Saccharomyces cerevisiae S288C: one gene and its partner. The protein of the gene in region 2 interacts with the protein of the main gene of each other region in a pairwise test. Each region holds a gene or a part of one and is shown on either strand. Other genes may lie near its edges. The genes, in order: NAR1 and CIA1.

The links.
Region 1: the proteins of CIA1 (region 2) and NAR1 interact in binary tests that used the Saccharomyces cerevisiae proteins (3 or more experiments, as listed by UniProt).

What each region holds. Positions count from the first base shown.
Region 1 is NC_001146.8:196,100-204,372, forward strand, and holds NAR1 (iron-sulfur cluster assembly protein NAR1), read right to left. Parts: upstream 3,879-8,273; coding exon 2,403-3,878; downstream 1-2,402. Other genes in the region: ATG2 (Atg2p), read left to right, coding at 1-3; ZWF1 (glucose-6-phosphate dehydrogenase), read right to left, coding at 327-1,844; LAP3 (bleomycin hydrolase), read left to right, coding at 4,470-5,834; kexin KEX2, read left to right, coding at 6,329-8,273. UniProt on the Saccharomyces cerevisiae protein: Essential component of a cytosolic Fe/S protein assembly machinery. Required for maturation of extramitochondrial Fe/S proteins. May play a role in the transfer of pre-assembled Fe/S clusters to target apoproteins.
Region 2 is NC_001136.10:999,678-1,007,383, forward strand, and holds CIA1 (iron-sulfur cluster assembly protein CIA1), read right to left. Parts: upstream 3,826-7,706; coding exon 2,833-3,825; downstream 1-2,832. Other genes in the region: PEX10 (ubiquitin-protein ligase peroxin 10), read left to right, coding at 1-200; E3 ubiquitin-protein ligase HEL2, read right to left, coding at 427-2,346; tryptophan--tRNA ligase MSW1, read left to right, coding at 4,327-5,466; Cu(2+)-transporting P-type ATPase CCC2, read left to right, coding at 5,998-7,706. UniProt on the Saccharomyces cerevisiae protein: Essential component of the cytosolic iron-sulfur (Fe/S) protein assembly machinery. Required for the maturation of extramitochondrial Fe/S proteins.

The DNA of each region.
Region 1 (8,273 bases), on a different chromosome or scaffold from region 2:
TAAAAATTTTTGCAGACATTTTTGATATATATTCAATTCATATTTTATCTCTTTTTTTTTTTTTTTTTTCAGACGTGGAATGGTGGGAAAGCCAAAATGTCACTGACCGCGGCTAAAAGTTAAAAAATACATGAGACGACATTCTTTTATGTATATATATTTACACATGTATACAAACAAATACACACGCAAGTAGAGAGGAGTTGGTGGGGGGAAGATGCCATTATAGAGGAGAAAAGAACAAAGAGAGTGAGCTTGCAAGATAAAATCACTCGAAAAAAAAAATTTCAGTGACTTAGCCGATAAATGAATGTGCTTGCATTTTTCTAATTATCCTTCGTATCTTCTGGCTTAGTCACGGGCCAAGCGTAAGGGTGCTTTTCGGGCATAACATACTTGTGTTTTTGCATATATTCCTTCAATCCCTTTGGACCTCTTGATCCGTAGGGGTAAATTTCCGGTGTTGGACCGTCCGGACGCTCTATGTGCTTCAGTAATGGGGTGAATATGCCCCAACTGATATCCAATTCGTCATCTCTGACAAAGTTGGAATGGTCACCCAGTAGGGCGTCTCTTATCAACACCTCGTAAGCCTCTGGAATCCAAAAGTCTTGGTACCTGCTTGCGTAAGTTAGATTCAGATCTGTGACTTGGGTAGCATTTGACAGACCAGGGGTCTTAGCATTAAACTTTAGGTACACAGCGGCATCGGGCTGCACTCTGATGACCAGTTCGTTATTTGGAATGTCTTTGAAGACACCCGATGCGACCGCTTTGTACTGCAGTCTGATCTCCACCTTGGACTCATTCAAAGCCTTACCGGCACGCATCATGATGGGGACGCCCTCCCAACGCTCGTTTTCGATGTTGAAAGTCATTGCTGCAAAAGTGACACATTTAGAGTCCTTGTCTACAGTGTCATCATCCACGTAGGCGGGCTTAGACCCGTCCTCAGATTTACCGTACTGGCCCAAGAGGACGTCGTCCGTGTCGATGGGGGCCACGGCCTTTAGAACCTTAACCTTTTCGTCACGAATAGATTCCGGGTCAAAAGACACCGGTCTTTCCATAGTCAAGAGAGTCATGATTTGTAACAGATGGTTCTGCATCACGTCTCTGATTATGCCTATAGAGTCGAAATAGCCGCCACGGCCTTCGGTGCCGAACCTCTCTTTAAACGAAATCTGAACGCTTTGAATGTTGTCTCTATTCCACGAGGCATTCAAAAACTGGTTACCGAACCTCAAGACTAAAAGATTCTTGACCAACTCTTTACCCAAGTAATGGTCAATTCTGTACAACTCTTCTTCTTTAAAGAGGGGCCCCAGGTTTTTTTGCAGCTCCCTGGCAGAGGCCAGGTCGTGGCCGAAAGGTTTCTCTACGATTACACGGGTGATGCCATTCTCTGCGTACACACGACTCTTGATCTGCTTGGCCACCGTCAAAAAAACGCTTGGCGGCAAGGCCAGATAGAAGAGACGGTGTGGGACATCGACGTTGGCACTTTTCTCGAATTTCTCGATCTGCGTTCTTAATTCGTCGAAGCCTTCATCTGTGTCGTAATTTCCCGAAATGTAGCTGACCATCTTGAAGAACTGTTCGACCTTAGAGTCATCGGCTTCACCGTGAGGTTTTTTCAAGTGGGGTAGGACACGGGACTTCAGGTCCTCCTCCATGGACAATTTGGACCGGGCATAACCGAAGATCTTGGTAGATGGATCAAGGTAACCTTCTCTGAAAAGCCCAAATAAGGCGGGAAAAGTCTTCTTCTTTGCCAGATCACCTGACGCACCAAAGACAGATATGACGGTATTTTTTTCGAATTTGACGGGGCCTTCACTCATCTTGCCTTATGTGGTTTTCTATTCTATTGGATTTACTCTTTCTGTCTATACAGCCAATTGGAGAGGGGGAAGGGGGAGAAGGAGGGGTGAGTGGAGAAAAGGGAGAGAGGGGCAGGAGGAAGCCACTTTAGGTGTTATGTGTCGGTATATAGATGAACCCACAGTTTGCTTATATATGGGATAGCCTTGGCGAGTTTTCCGTACATTGAAGAATTCGCCACCCTTAGAAAAGGGGCCACCACACCTTGAGCCAAAAATCCCACATTAATAATATTCCATTTTTTTTTTAGTCATTTTTTTTTTTTTCGTCTCTCTTCCTCCTCCGGCCGAGCCGAAACCGGGCTTTTAGCACCGTTGGAAGCTTGTATCTCCGCGTAAGACCGCCGGAGTATGCATCTTATAGCGGTTTTTCCAGTTCTTTTCCACTATTACGTGGTGCTTCCAGTAGCGCTACTATTATTGTTGTTCTTGCTATTATTTAAATGTCACTATGTACTTGATACACACAGTTTGTGGTGATTTCACGCTTATGTACACGGGTGCAAAACTACACCTTACTTACCAGGTGCTCCCAACAGAGACGAGATCCTTTTCGACGGCCTGCTTGACGGGCGCGAAGACGTACTCTAGCGAAAGCGGGCGGGCTGCCGCCTCTTCTAGCTTGGGTCCCAGGGTTAGAGGATCTACCATTGCTAGCTCCTCTCCGTGACGCTTATTCAGTGTCTGAACCAACTGCTTCCGCTTGAGACTGTTTTGCTCGCCATTGAGTAGGCCACCACCGTTCATGCATGCACCCGGACACGCGTTTACCTCGATGTAGTCCGAGTGGTAGGGATCGGCCGTGGCGGCCGTGGCGGCCGCCATCTCGCGTGAGTTCGCCTTTGGACCTGTTCGTCTCTTCCGCAGAGCGGTGATGTTCCTCTTGCGCTCTGACCCGGAGCCCGAGGTCAGTTTACGCACCAGATTTTGGATGTTTCTAAACCCGGAAAGCTCGCTGGCGGCGGCTATTATGCGATCATCGTGCAGCAATCGGTACTCGACAATGTCGCTGTTTCTACCCTCCAGAACTATCATCTGACTTCCTGGGTGTAGTCGTTGGACAGCCGTTACGTACTGGTAGGCATAGCCACCACAAGTGCCTCCCAGATTCGACGCCCAGTGGACTCGCGGGTCCCATCCCGGCGGTGATAGCCGCCCATATAAACTTGTGTCCTCAGTAAGAAACGACTTGAAGTCTAAATTCAACTCTTGTAACATTGTCACTATTTCACGTGGCGTAATGACACAGTCAATCCCATCGTCAAGCGATTCTGGCCTTGACGCTTCTAGTTTCTTGTCAAAACATGGCATCAGCGACAGATGGTAAAAGGACTCACGCGCGATAGCGAGACTCTCGAACGTAGCTCTGATCAACGAGCCCGTAATTTGCTGAGGCGACTTGACATTGAGCAGCATAGGCACCAACTGCGGTTTGGTCTTTTCCGTGTATATAAGAAATCCCGGACACACAGCAGATAATAGAGGCTTGCGGTCCGCACCGGTATTTTCTTTTTGTTTCTTATGCGCAATGATCTTCTCTACGGTTTTGCTAATCGATATGATTCTGCCCATCTCCGTTCCAACCATATACTTGCACTGGAAATGCTTTTGGAAAAAATTCATCAAACACAAATCGGCCGCCTCCAATGTTAAGCCGTAGTACTGCGCAAGAGATAGTCTGCATTGTGGCGAGACACTCACAACGAGGAATTTGTCTTGCTGCTGCGAAAGCTTCCCCCAGTTTTTCAGGAAAACCGAGTGACTTTGGCTACTCAACAAGATTTCTTCACTAGACGTTATACAACCAGAACACGCGAGGCAGTCTGATAGGGTAATAGAGACCTTCTCCAGTTGGTCTGGTTCCGTGCTCACCTCGTATTCTCCGTTCATGTTAACGTTATCCTTCTTGCCCCCGCTCACCTGGGTAGGTTTGACGCACGCAAGGGCGGGACTGATAAAATCGTTTAGGTCAGACTCGGACAGTAGAGCACTCATGCTTTCTTGTACACTTATCTTGTCACTCAGGAAAAGGAAGCTCCCTCTCTTATCTTTCCAGCTGACAAGACAAGTTTCTTAGTCATCACCATAAAACGCTTTTATCATTTTTTTCTTCATGCGATGAGCAGGGAAAACTGGTAAAAAAAGAAAATAGGAAGTGGAAAAGAAAAAACTAGCGGAAAGGCAGGCAATATGCTTTACAAACAGGCAAATTTTGTCTCTTAATCCTGTGAAGAGGCATCGTATATTCAGTGCTTTTTGAAATTTAGAAAATAGTCGCTTTATTGATTATGCTACATATGTTATTTTGCTTTAGTATGTGTCAAATAGCATGCAATCGCCGGGTAGTGAGTGACACATCCTTTTTTCCCCTCCCACCAGAAAGTCACCTGCTCTCTTAATCAATGGGGTTGCATGTGGTAATCAATTGATAACGCCGGCTGACAAGTCGCCGACGGGCACCCATAAATAAACGATAAATAGCCCTTGCTCTTTTGTTACATGCTTCCTACTTCTGTTTCCCGGTCCTTGTATCTCAAGACGTTTAGAAGCCACCTTTTACGAGCACCACAAATTGTTTTAAAAAGAATGTCCTCTTCCATCGATATCAGTAAGATCAACTCTTGGAACAAAGAGTTTCAATCCGACTTAACCCATCAATTGGCAACCACTGTCCTTAAGAATTATAATGCCGATGATGCACTGTTGAACAAGACTAGACTGCAAAAGCAAGATAACAGGGTTTTCAACACTGTTGTCTCTACTGATTCCACTCCAGTCACCAACCAAAAAAGCTCTGGTAGATGTTGGTTGTTTGCCGCTACCAATCAACTGCGCTTGAATGTTCTTTCTGAATTGAACTTAAAAGAATTCGAACTGTCCCAAGCTTACTTGTTCTTTTACGATAAGTTGGAAAAGGCCAACTATTTCTTGGACCAAATCGTCTCCTCGGCTGATCAAGACATCGACTCACGTCTCGTGCAATACTTGTTAGCAGCTCCAACAGAAGACGGTGGCCAATACAGCATGTTTTTGAACCTAGTCAAGAAGTATGGCCTTATCCCCAAAGATTTATACGGGGATCTACCTTATTCTACTACTGCGTCCAGAAAATGGAATTCTCTGTTGACTACTAAACTGAGAGAATTTGCCGAGACTCTAAGAACAGCTTTGAAAGAGCGTTCTGCCGATGATTCCATAATTGTCACTCTGAGAGAGCAAATGCAAAGAGAAATCTTCAGGTTGATGTCGTTGTTCATGGACATACCTCCAGTGCAACCAAACGAGCAATTCACTTGGGAATACGTTGACAAAGACAAGAAAATCCACACTATCAAATCGACTCCGTTAGAATTTGCCTCCAAATACGCAAAATTGGACCCTTCCACGCCAGTCTCATTGATCAATGATCCAAGACACCCATATGGTAAATTAATTAAGATCGATCGTTTAGGAAACGTCCTTGGCGGAGATGCCGTGATTTACTTAAATGTTGACAATGAAACACTATCTAAATTGGTTGTTAAGAGATTACAAAATAACAAAGCTGTCTTTTTTGGATCTCACACTCCAAAGTTCATGGACAAGAAAACTGGTGTCATGGATATTGAATTGTGGAACTATCCTGCCATCGGCTATAATTTACCTCAGCAAAAGGCATCGCGTATTAGATACCATGAAAGTTTGATGACTCATGCTATGTTGATCACTGGCTGCCACGTCGATGAAACGTCTAAATTACCACTTCGCTACCGCGTTGAAAATTCCTGGGGTAAAGACTCCGGTAAAGACGGATTATACGTGATGACTCAAAAGTACTTCGAGGAGTACTGCTTTCAAATTGTGGTCGATATCAATGAATTGCCAAAAGAGCTGGCTTCAAAATTCACCTCAGGTAAGGAAGAGCCGATTGTCTTGCCCATCTGGGACCCAATGGGTGCTTTGGCCAAATAAATAGTTTCAGCAGCTCTGATGTAGATACACGTATCTCGACATGTTTTATTTTTACTATACATACATAAAAGAAATAAAAAATGATAACGTGTATATTATTATTCATATAATCAATGAGGGTCATTTTCTGAAACGCAAAAAACGGTAAATGGAAAAAAAATAAAGATAGAAAAAGAAAACAAACAAAGGAAAGGTTAGCATATTAAATAACTGAGCTGATACTTCAACAGCATCGCTGAAGAGAACAGTATTGAAACCGAAACATTTTCTAAAGGCAAACAAGGTACTCCATATTTGCTGGACGTGTTCTTTCTCTCGTTTCATATGCATAATTCTGTCATAAGCCTGTTCTTTTTCCTGGCTTAAACATCCCGTTTTGTAAAAGAGAAATCTATTCCACATATTTCATTCATTCGGCTACCATACTAAGGATAAACTAATCCCGTTGTTTTTTGGCCTCGTCACATAATTATAAACTACTAACCCATTATCAGATGAAAGTGAGGAAATATATTACTTTATGCTTTTGGTGGGCCTTTTCAACATCCGCTCTTGTATCATCACAACAAATTCCATTGAAGGACCATACGTCACGACAGTATTTTGCTGTAGAAAGCAATGAAACATTATCCCGCTTGGAGGAAATGCATCCAAATTGGAAATATGAACATGATGTTCGAGGGCTACCAAACCATTATGTTTTTTCAAAAGAGTTGCTAAAATTGGGCAAAAGATCATCATTAGAAGAGTTACAGGGGGATAACAACGACCACATATTATCTGTCCATGATTTATTCCCGCGTAACGACCTATTTAAGAGACTACCGGTGCCTGCTCCACCAATGGACTCAAGCTTGTTACCGGTAAAAGAAGCTGAGGATAAACTCAGCATAAATGATCCGCTTTTTGAGAGGCAGTGGCACTTGGTCAATCCAAGTTTTCCTGGCAGTGATATAAATGTTCTTGATCTGTGGTACAATAATATTACAGGCGCAGGGGTCGTGGCTGCCATTGTTGATGATGGCCTTGACTACGAAAATGAAGACTTGAAGGATAATTTTTGCGCTGAAGGTTCTTGGGATTTCAACGACAATACCAATTTACCTAAACCAAGATTATCTGATGACTACCATGGTACGAGATGTGCAGGTGAAATAGCTGCCAAAAAAGGTAACAATTTTTGCGGTGTCGGGGTAGGTTACAACGCTAAAATCTCAGGCATAAGAATCTTATCCGGTGATATCACTACGGAAGATGAAGCTGCGTCCTTGATTTATGGTCTAGACGTAAACGATATATATTCATGCTCATGGGGTCCCGCTGATGACGGAAGACATTTACAAGGCCCTAGTGACCTGGTGAAAAAGGCTTTAGTAAAAGGTGTTACTGAGGGAAGAGATTCCAAAGGAGCGATTTACGTTTTTGCCAGTGGAAATGGTGGAACTCGTGGTGATAATTGCAATTACGACGGCTATACTAATTCCATATATTCTATTACTATTGGGGCTATTGATCACAAAGATCTACATCCTCCTTATTCCGAAGGTTGTTCCGCCGTCATGGCAGTCACGTATTCTTCAGGTTCAGGCGAATATATTCATTCGAGTGATATCAACGGCAGATGCAGTAATAGCCACGGTGGAACGTCTGCGGCTGCTCCATTAGCTGCCGGTGTTTACACTTTGTTACTAGAAGCCAACCCAAACCTAACTTGGAGAGACGTACAGTATTTATCAATCTTGTCTGCGGTAGGGTTAGAAAAGAACGCTGACGGAGATTGGAGAGATAGCGCCATGGGGAAGAAATACTCTCATCGCTATGGCTTTGGTAAAATCGATGCCCATAAGTTAATTGAAATGTCCAAGACCTGGGAGAATGTTAACGCACAAACCTGGTTTTACCTGCCAACATTGTATGTTTCCCAGTCCACAAACTCCACGGAAGAGACATTAGAATCCGTCATAACCATATCAGAAAAAAGTCTTCAAGATGCTAACTTCAAGAGAATTGAGCACGTCACGGTAACTGTAGATATTGATACAGAAATTAGGGGAACTACGACTGTCGATTTAATATCACCAGCGGGGATAATTTCAAACCTTGGCGTTGTAAGACCAAGAGATGTTTCATCAGAGGGATTCAAAGACTGGACATTCATGTCTGTAGCACATTGGGGTGAGAACGGCGTAGGTGATTGGAAAATCAAGGTTAAGACAACAGAAAATGGACACAGGATTGACTTCCACAGTTGGAGGCTGAAGCTCTTTGGGGAATCCATTGATTCATCTAAAACAGAAACTTTCGTCTTTGGAAACGATAAAGAGGAGGTTGAACCAGCTGCTACAGAAAGTACCGTATCACAATATTCTGCCAGTTCAACTTCTATTTCCATCAGCGCTACTTCTACATCTTCTATCTCAATTGGTGTGGAAACGTCGG
Region 2 (7,706 bases):
ATAAAAACCAATTGCCATTTATTCCAGAAGCCTCGAGAAAATGCATCCTATGTCTCATGAACATGAGTGATCCTAGCTGCGCGCCATGTGGACATCTATTTTGTTGGAGTTGTCTTATGAGCTGGTGTAAAGAGAGGCCAGAATGCCCCTTGTGCAGACAACACTGTCAACCACAGGAAATTCTGGTCCTGCGGCAATAGAGGAACTAATCAATAATTTGACTACTCTTTTAGCATTGTCCACAGGCCTTTTTCAGAAATAACGCAGACGTCTGAGCAGGAGAAGTAAAACGCGAAGGGGAAATAATGCTTTTTAGTCTTGTAATTATATTAATTAATTAAATAAGTTTTTCTTTATCGGAATTTTATTTAAGACTTTCATTTCTCTAATGCTATTGTCAGTTACAGGTTAGAAATATATTTCCAACTATACACCAATGTGGAATAACAGCTGCTTTTGTTTGCCTTTCTTTTTATTTCCTCCACTAGTTGTGTTCAATTCCCTCAAATTATCGTGCACGTTAGTATCTTGTGTGCTTGACTTTTTACCCCACTGCTTAGGATCAGCAATTTGGGGTCTGTTCAGACCTGGAATTTGCACCTTTGGCTTTGGTGGAGGTAGTTGAGGTAGGTTGAGACTTTTCAATTTATCTTTGCTATTATTTAGAGAAGTAGAAGAGGAACCCTTTTTACTTTCCAAATAGGTTGGAGAGAAGGCGACTGTATTAGTGGAAGTTCGATAACTAACTGATTGAGGTGTAGTTCTTTTAATGTTTTGCACGGGTCTCAGAGTGTTTTTTTTTACGGTGGTTGCAAAGGGATCATACGACGCTGAAGGACTTTTCAGGGTTGGAAGATTTTTGATATTCCTAACGCCTAATGCTGCACCAGCGCTGCCCCCATCGTTTGTTCCACCCCAATGGCCCCTGCCTATTGACATTGAAAGGGAAGAATCACTAGATAAAGAAGGTAGTGAAGTTTGTCGTGCAAGGGTTTGCTCTCTTTGTTCATATATGGCGTTCAGATTATTGTATTTGGAGGAGTTTTTGGGAAAGGTTTCAGCTAAGTTATGAATCAATAAATATACATCCGCATTTGGTTTTGTGAATAACAATTTATATGATTCCAATAATTTTTCAGCACTTAAGCGACCTTTAGAATAATCTTCGTTATAAGAAGAAAACTTATTGAAGTCTTCTTTGGAATTTTCCAGATAGTATTTTGCTCTTTCTGCCAATCTTAGTCTACTTTCCTCGGGAGAACTAGCAGATCTCACATCAGTTCTAGAGCCGGATGATGAACCCGGTAGGGAAGATATAGATGGAAGGTCGTAATCATCTCTTTCCCTGATCACTCTAGATGGAGCCGAGATAAAAGTAGAAAGTTCTGACTGGAAAAACTTTGGCTTTCCCTTCAGGATATTACCATGCTCCTGCAAAATGTGGGCTTGTAACTCCAACTCGTCTTTAAATACGACAAACTTGTTATCTAAGCAAGTTTGGACGGTGCAAACGTAATGCGAATGTTTAAAGTGGTCAAAAAGCTGATTATAATCCTTAAAGTATTGAGGAGAAGCGGGGTTCATCTTATCACAAATATGGCACTTTTCATGCTGATTTCTCATGTGAATGTACAATTCGTCGTCTGAATAAAATCGTTTTCCGGAACAGAAGGCACACATAGGGTGGCCTTTGAATCCTTCTGAATTACCCTTAGTTTGATGGTTGCGTAATTGATTTTGGGTGAATATTTCAAGCTCACAAGGGAATGCATGCTTATGGGTTGCACATATTAAACAGATCATTCTGTTATGTTCAGATTTCAAGTGTTCATTATATTTCTTGAAACTACCAAAGTCACAAACTTGTTCATCCTTCGATAGGGGACAAAAAAATTTTAAAAGATTTAGTGTTTCGGTAGCAACCTCTTCGCTAGTGAAATTTATTCCATATTTTTCATTTTTTTCGCAAAAGTTATATTTATCTGAAATATCACCATCTATGCGATCGGTAAACATGACTTCTTCATTCTCCGTTCTGCAAATCAAACAGCTTTTCTTGTTGTACAAAGCTCGTTGTCTGAAACCACAGATATGGCATGTCTTATGATGGCATGGTGTTAGAGATACGTATGTTAACTTGCGCGCACAAATTACACATAATTCATTTTCTTCATCAGTATCATCTGCGCTTGAAGTGGTGAGGTTGGGTTCAGCAGAAAGGTTATTTTTCTTTTGCTTTCTTCTGAAATTCTTCCTGTCGTTGTGAGGTTTTGTATTATTTTGGGGCCCTTGAGTACGACGGAAGTTACGTGTCGGAGTAACGTTTTCTTTCACTGATTCGCTCATCCTAATTCTTGAAAAGAAGTATAGCCACTATTTTTTCGACGAAAGAGACTGTATCAAAATGCACTTTATGGATCTTTTTCAGCTAGGTATGCGCTCGACGATTTGTTGAATATGGCTGAGTGGGCAGTCGTTCAGATGCCCTTTTCAAAATCTTAAGAGAAAATCAGAAAATATAGCTATTATTAAGAGTGACCGCGAGTATGAAACTTTCAGTGTAACCTTTCTTTATTCGAGATAATGCTTAATTACAAGTCTTCCGAATATCTAATTTTTTTTTTTTTCATTTTTAAATTTCAGTTTTTACCGCATGCTTTTAATGCAGGGATATGTATAACGAGGTCACTCCGTCACACATGACAGAATTGCGTTATAGTGATACAAAGGTTTATGTAACTAGGTAGAAAAATCGTCATTAAGTTTATTTTTAGAATTCAGATCGATCACTGTGTTAATATGAGTTCCTGAATTGTACTCTTGCTTCTACATCTACGCTGCTTTTTCTAGAGACCAGAAATTTACGATCCCGTCGTCACCGCCTGTTGCAAGTATAGTTTTACCATTTAACTCCAACCACTTCACAACGTTGATTTCATAAACTCCATGACATAATGCACGTTTAGCAAAAACTTTCCATTCTCCGTCTACTTCTTCATAGACCGCTAGTACTCCATCCGCTCCTACACTAGCAATGAGGCCATTAAAGCCCCATGCAACATTGTATACCTGTCTTTTGTGTACATCCGGGAGAATAGCTTCACAAACCCATTCTTGTTGATCATCCTCGTCGTCACCCATGTATTTCCATACCCGTACAGTGGAATCGTCGCTTCCACTGCACAGTCTAAACACGCCCTCAGTCTTGTCAAAATCAGAAGACCAAACAGTTCCTTCATGGCCATTTAAGACAGCAACACATTCCCAGTCATCGTCATAGTCTTTCCATATCCTGACGGTGTCATCATAAGAACTTGAAGCCAGTAATGCTTCAGATGGATGCCATATAACATGTTTAACGTCTTGTGAATGTTCTTGCAAAACACTAATACACTCATATTCCTCGCCACTTTCATCTGTTTCCCATATCCACACGCTTTTATCTCTGGAACAGGTTGCTAGGTAATATCCATCATTCGACCACGCTACACCTTTTACTTCATTTTCGTGACCTTCGATAATAGCTAGCAGGTCCATCTCGAAAGTTCTGTCAGCAGATTCTTCCTTAGCCCAGATAGATACAGTGGAATCAAAAGAGCCAGCCGCTAACAGCGAAGTGTGAGGTCTCCACGCCACAGATCGAATCGCCTTTTTATGAGCAGTCTCATCTAGCACATCAATTAACGTAAAATCGTCATATTTCACGCTAACTAGCTTAATTTTTCGATCAGTTGAACCTGTTGCTAATATACCTTGAGAAAAGTCAAAAGACCATATCTTTTCCTTGTAAAGTTTCAAAGACTTAATCAGATTGATAGACGCCATTACCAAATAAGTAAACCAATTGAACTATTAAAATGTCGTGGTATAGCCCGATTTTGATTTGTGATATCTACAAATCTAGTATTTATTCGCAATTAATGAGGCAAAGACGATACAATATTCGATGTGAGATTTTTCAAAACACGGCCCGCTGAGAGCAGAAAGTTTTAGATGACCTATTTGAAGGCAATCACGATGGTATTTTTCAAGAAAATAAATAGTAGTAACACTGCTATGCACATCAGAGTCAGATTCCTTAAATTCAAACGTTTCTACAATTAGTATGACCTTTTCTTGAAGATCTTTTTCTCCTTATAAAGGCAACACAAAACAAGATAGAAGTGCAAAGGTATTTTTTGTTTTTCACGTGATAAAATCGGCTTCGAGAAAGTAGAAAAGGGTATTATGATTTATTACAGGCTACCTGCACCATCTCAAAGGTTTTACGTTACTAAGGAGTGAATCAGGTTTTGATAAATATTTACACTATCTTTTACAAGGAAGATGTCGAATAAGCAGGCGGTTCTGAAGTTAATCAGTAAAAGGTGGATAAGCACAGTGCAACGTGCCGATTTTAAGCTGAATTCCGAAGCGCTTCATAGTAATGCTACGGTATTTAGTATGATTCAGCCAACTGGGTGTTTCCACCTTGGTAATTATCTAGGTGCTACACGTGTTTGGACAGACTTATGTGAATTAAAACAACCTGGCCAGGAATTGATATTTGGAGTTGCTGATTTACACGCTATCACTGTTCCAAAGCCAGATGGAGAAATGTTTAGAAAATTTCGCCATGAGGCAGTAGCAAGTATACTGGCTGTCGGTGTAGATCCAGAAAAGGCTTCGGTGATCTACCAATCCGCCATCCCTCAACACAGTGAATTACACTGGTTGCTTTCTACTCTTGCCTCGATGGGATTACTTAACCGCATGACGCAATGGAAATCAAAATCGAATATCAAACAATCAACTAATGGGGATTATCTGGTTAACGATTCTGACGTGGGAAAAGTTAGACTGGGCTTATTTTCGTATCCTGTTTTACAGGCAGCGGATATTCTACTTTATAAATCTACACACGTTCCTGTTGGCGATGATCAATCGCAGCATTTGGAACTAACAAGACACCTTGCTGAAAAGTTTAACAAAATGTACAAGAAAAATTTTTTTCCTAAACCTGTAACTATGTTGGCACAAACGAAAAAAGTTTTGAGCTTAAGCACGCCTGAAAAGAAAATGTCCAAGAGTGATCCGAATCACGACTCTGTAATTTTTTTGAATGATGAGCCTAAGGCAATTCAGAAAAAGATTAGAAAAGCTTTAACAGATTCCATTTCTGATAGGTTCTACTACGACCCTGTAGAAAGACCAGGCGTATCGAATTTAATTAACATTGTCAGTGGCATTCAAAGAAAATCGATTGAAGATGTCGTAGAAGATGTATCTCGTTTCAATAACTATAGGGATTTCAAAGATTATGTTTCAGAAGTGATAATTGAGGAATTGAAAGGCCCAAGAACAGAATTTGAGAAATATATCAACGAACCGACCTATTTGCATAGTGTCGTTGAATCTGGCATGCGCAAAGCGAGAGAAAAAGCAGCAAAAAACCTGGCCGACATTCATAAAATAATGGGCTTCTGACTGTCCCCGGCTTTAGGCTGCTGCAAACGCAATGTAAATAATAATACAGTTTAACTTGTACGTATCTTTGTTATTTCAGAATATGCAAGATTCCTCACTCGGCAGATCTCATCAATAAACGTTAGTATCTTGAAAAATACGCAGATGTTGGTACAGTCTCTTGCAGAGGGCCAGCACCGTTAGAATGTTGTGTTGCCACCGTCTGGCTCGAAAACAGGTCGATCTGTGTAAGTATTGTCCTGGGTGCAGTTATTTGTAGTAGCGATTTTCGCGGGCAGTGGAAAAGAACGGGTGCAGTGCGGCGATGAGTGCAATTAGCTGCCGAAGGGTTTGCACCGGTGATTCCGAGACCTTTTGCACACACTTGTATATATTTAGGGAAGTCACGGTAACTAATGGATTTCTTCTCAAATTTGAGACATATGGATTAGACTTTAATTCTGCCTGGTACTAAGCTACTTTTCAAAGGTATTTGAGATATTTCGTAAATTTTGCGGCCAAGGAGTTGAGGTGTTTAATACTTAAAACGAAATGAGAGAAGTGATACTTGCTGTACATGGAATGACATGCAGCGCCTGTACTAATACAATCAATACGCAGTTACGAGCTTTAAAGGGTGTAACAAAATGTGATATTAGTTTAGTGACTAATGAGTGCCAGGTGACATACGATAACGAGGTTACCGCCGATTCTATTAAGGAAATTATAGAGGATTGTGGATTTGACTGTGAGATACTAAGAGATTCTGAAATTACAGCCATAAGTACGAAGGAAGGACTACTGAGTGTACAAGGTATGACCTGTGGGTCTTGTGTTTCTACAGTCACCAAACAAGTGGAAGGCATTGAGGGTGTTGAATCGGTAGTCGTTTCCTTGGTAACGGAAGAGTGCCATGTTATTTATGAACCGTCCAAGACAACGCTAGAAACCGCCAGAGAAATGATTGAAGACTGTGGATTTGACTCAAATATTATTATGGATGGCAACGGGAATGCAGACATGACCGAAAAAACGGTGATCTTGAAAGTAACTAAGGCTTTCGAGGACGAATCCCCACTCATACTTTCTTCAGTAAGCGAAAGGTTTCAATTTTTGTTAGACCTAGGTGTAAAATCGATAGAAATTTCTGATGATATGCACACACTCACCATAAAATACTGTTGTAACGAACTCGGCATTAGAGATTTATTGAGGCACCTTGAGAGGACCGGATATAAATTCACTGTATTTTCCAATTTAGATAATACTACCCAGTTAAGGCTTCTCTCTAAAGAGGACGAGATAAGATTCTGGAAAAAAAACAGCATAAAATCCACCCTTTTGGCTATAATATGTATGCTATTGTATATGATTGTCCCTATGATGTGGCCAACAATTGTTCAGGACCGCATATTCCCTTACAAAGAAACCTCCTTTGTTAGAGGTCTGTTCTACAGAGATATTTTGGGTGTAATATTGGCAAGCTATATTCAGTTCAGCGTTGGTTTTTACTTTTACAAGGCAGCATGGGCATCTTTAAAGCACGGTTCAGGAACCATGGATACACTAGTTTGTGTTTCCACTACTTGTGCATACACATTTTCTGTGTTTTCTTTAGTTCACAATATGTTCCATCCCTCAAGTACTGGCAAACTCCCAAGGATCGTTTTCGACACATCAATCATGATCATTTCATATATTTCCATCGGGAAATATTTGGAAACTTTAGCTAAATCACAAACATCAACCGCACTTTCTAAATTAATTCAGCTCACTCCATCGGTGTGTTCAATTATATCTGACGTGGAGCGGAATGAAACCAAGGAAATTCCCATAGAATTATTGCAAGTGAACGATATAGTGGAGATTAAACCAGGGATGAAAATTCCTGCTGATGGCATCATAACAAGAGGTGAATCTGAAATTGACGAGTCGTTAATGACAGGCGAATCCATTTTGGTGCCCAAGAAAACTGGTTTTCCGGTTATTGCTGGTTCTGTTAATGGACCTGGACATTTCTACTTCAGAACTACTACCGTTGGGGAGGAAACTAAATTAGCAAATATTATCAAGGTAATGAAAGAAGCACAATTGAGTAAAGCTCCCATTCAGGGGTATGCAGATTATTTAGCCTCTATTTTTGTTCCGGGGATCCTAATTTTGGCAGTATTGACTTTCTTTATTTGGTGTTTTATTTTAAACATCTCGGCTAATCCTCCCGTCGCTTTCACCGCAAATACTAAGGCTGATAATTTTTTTAT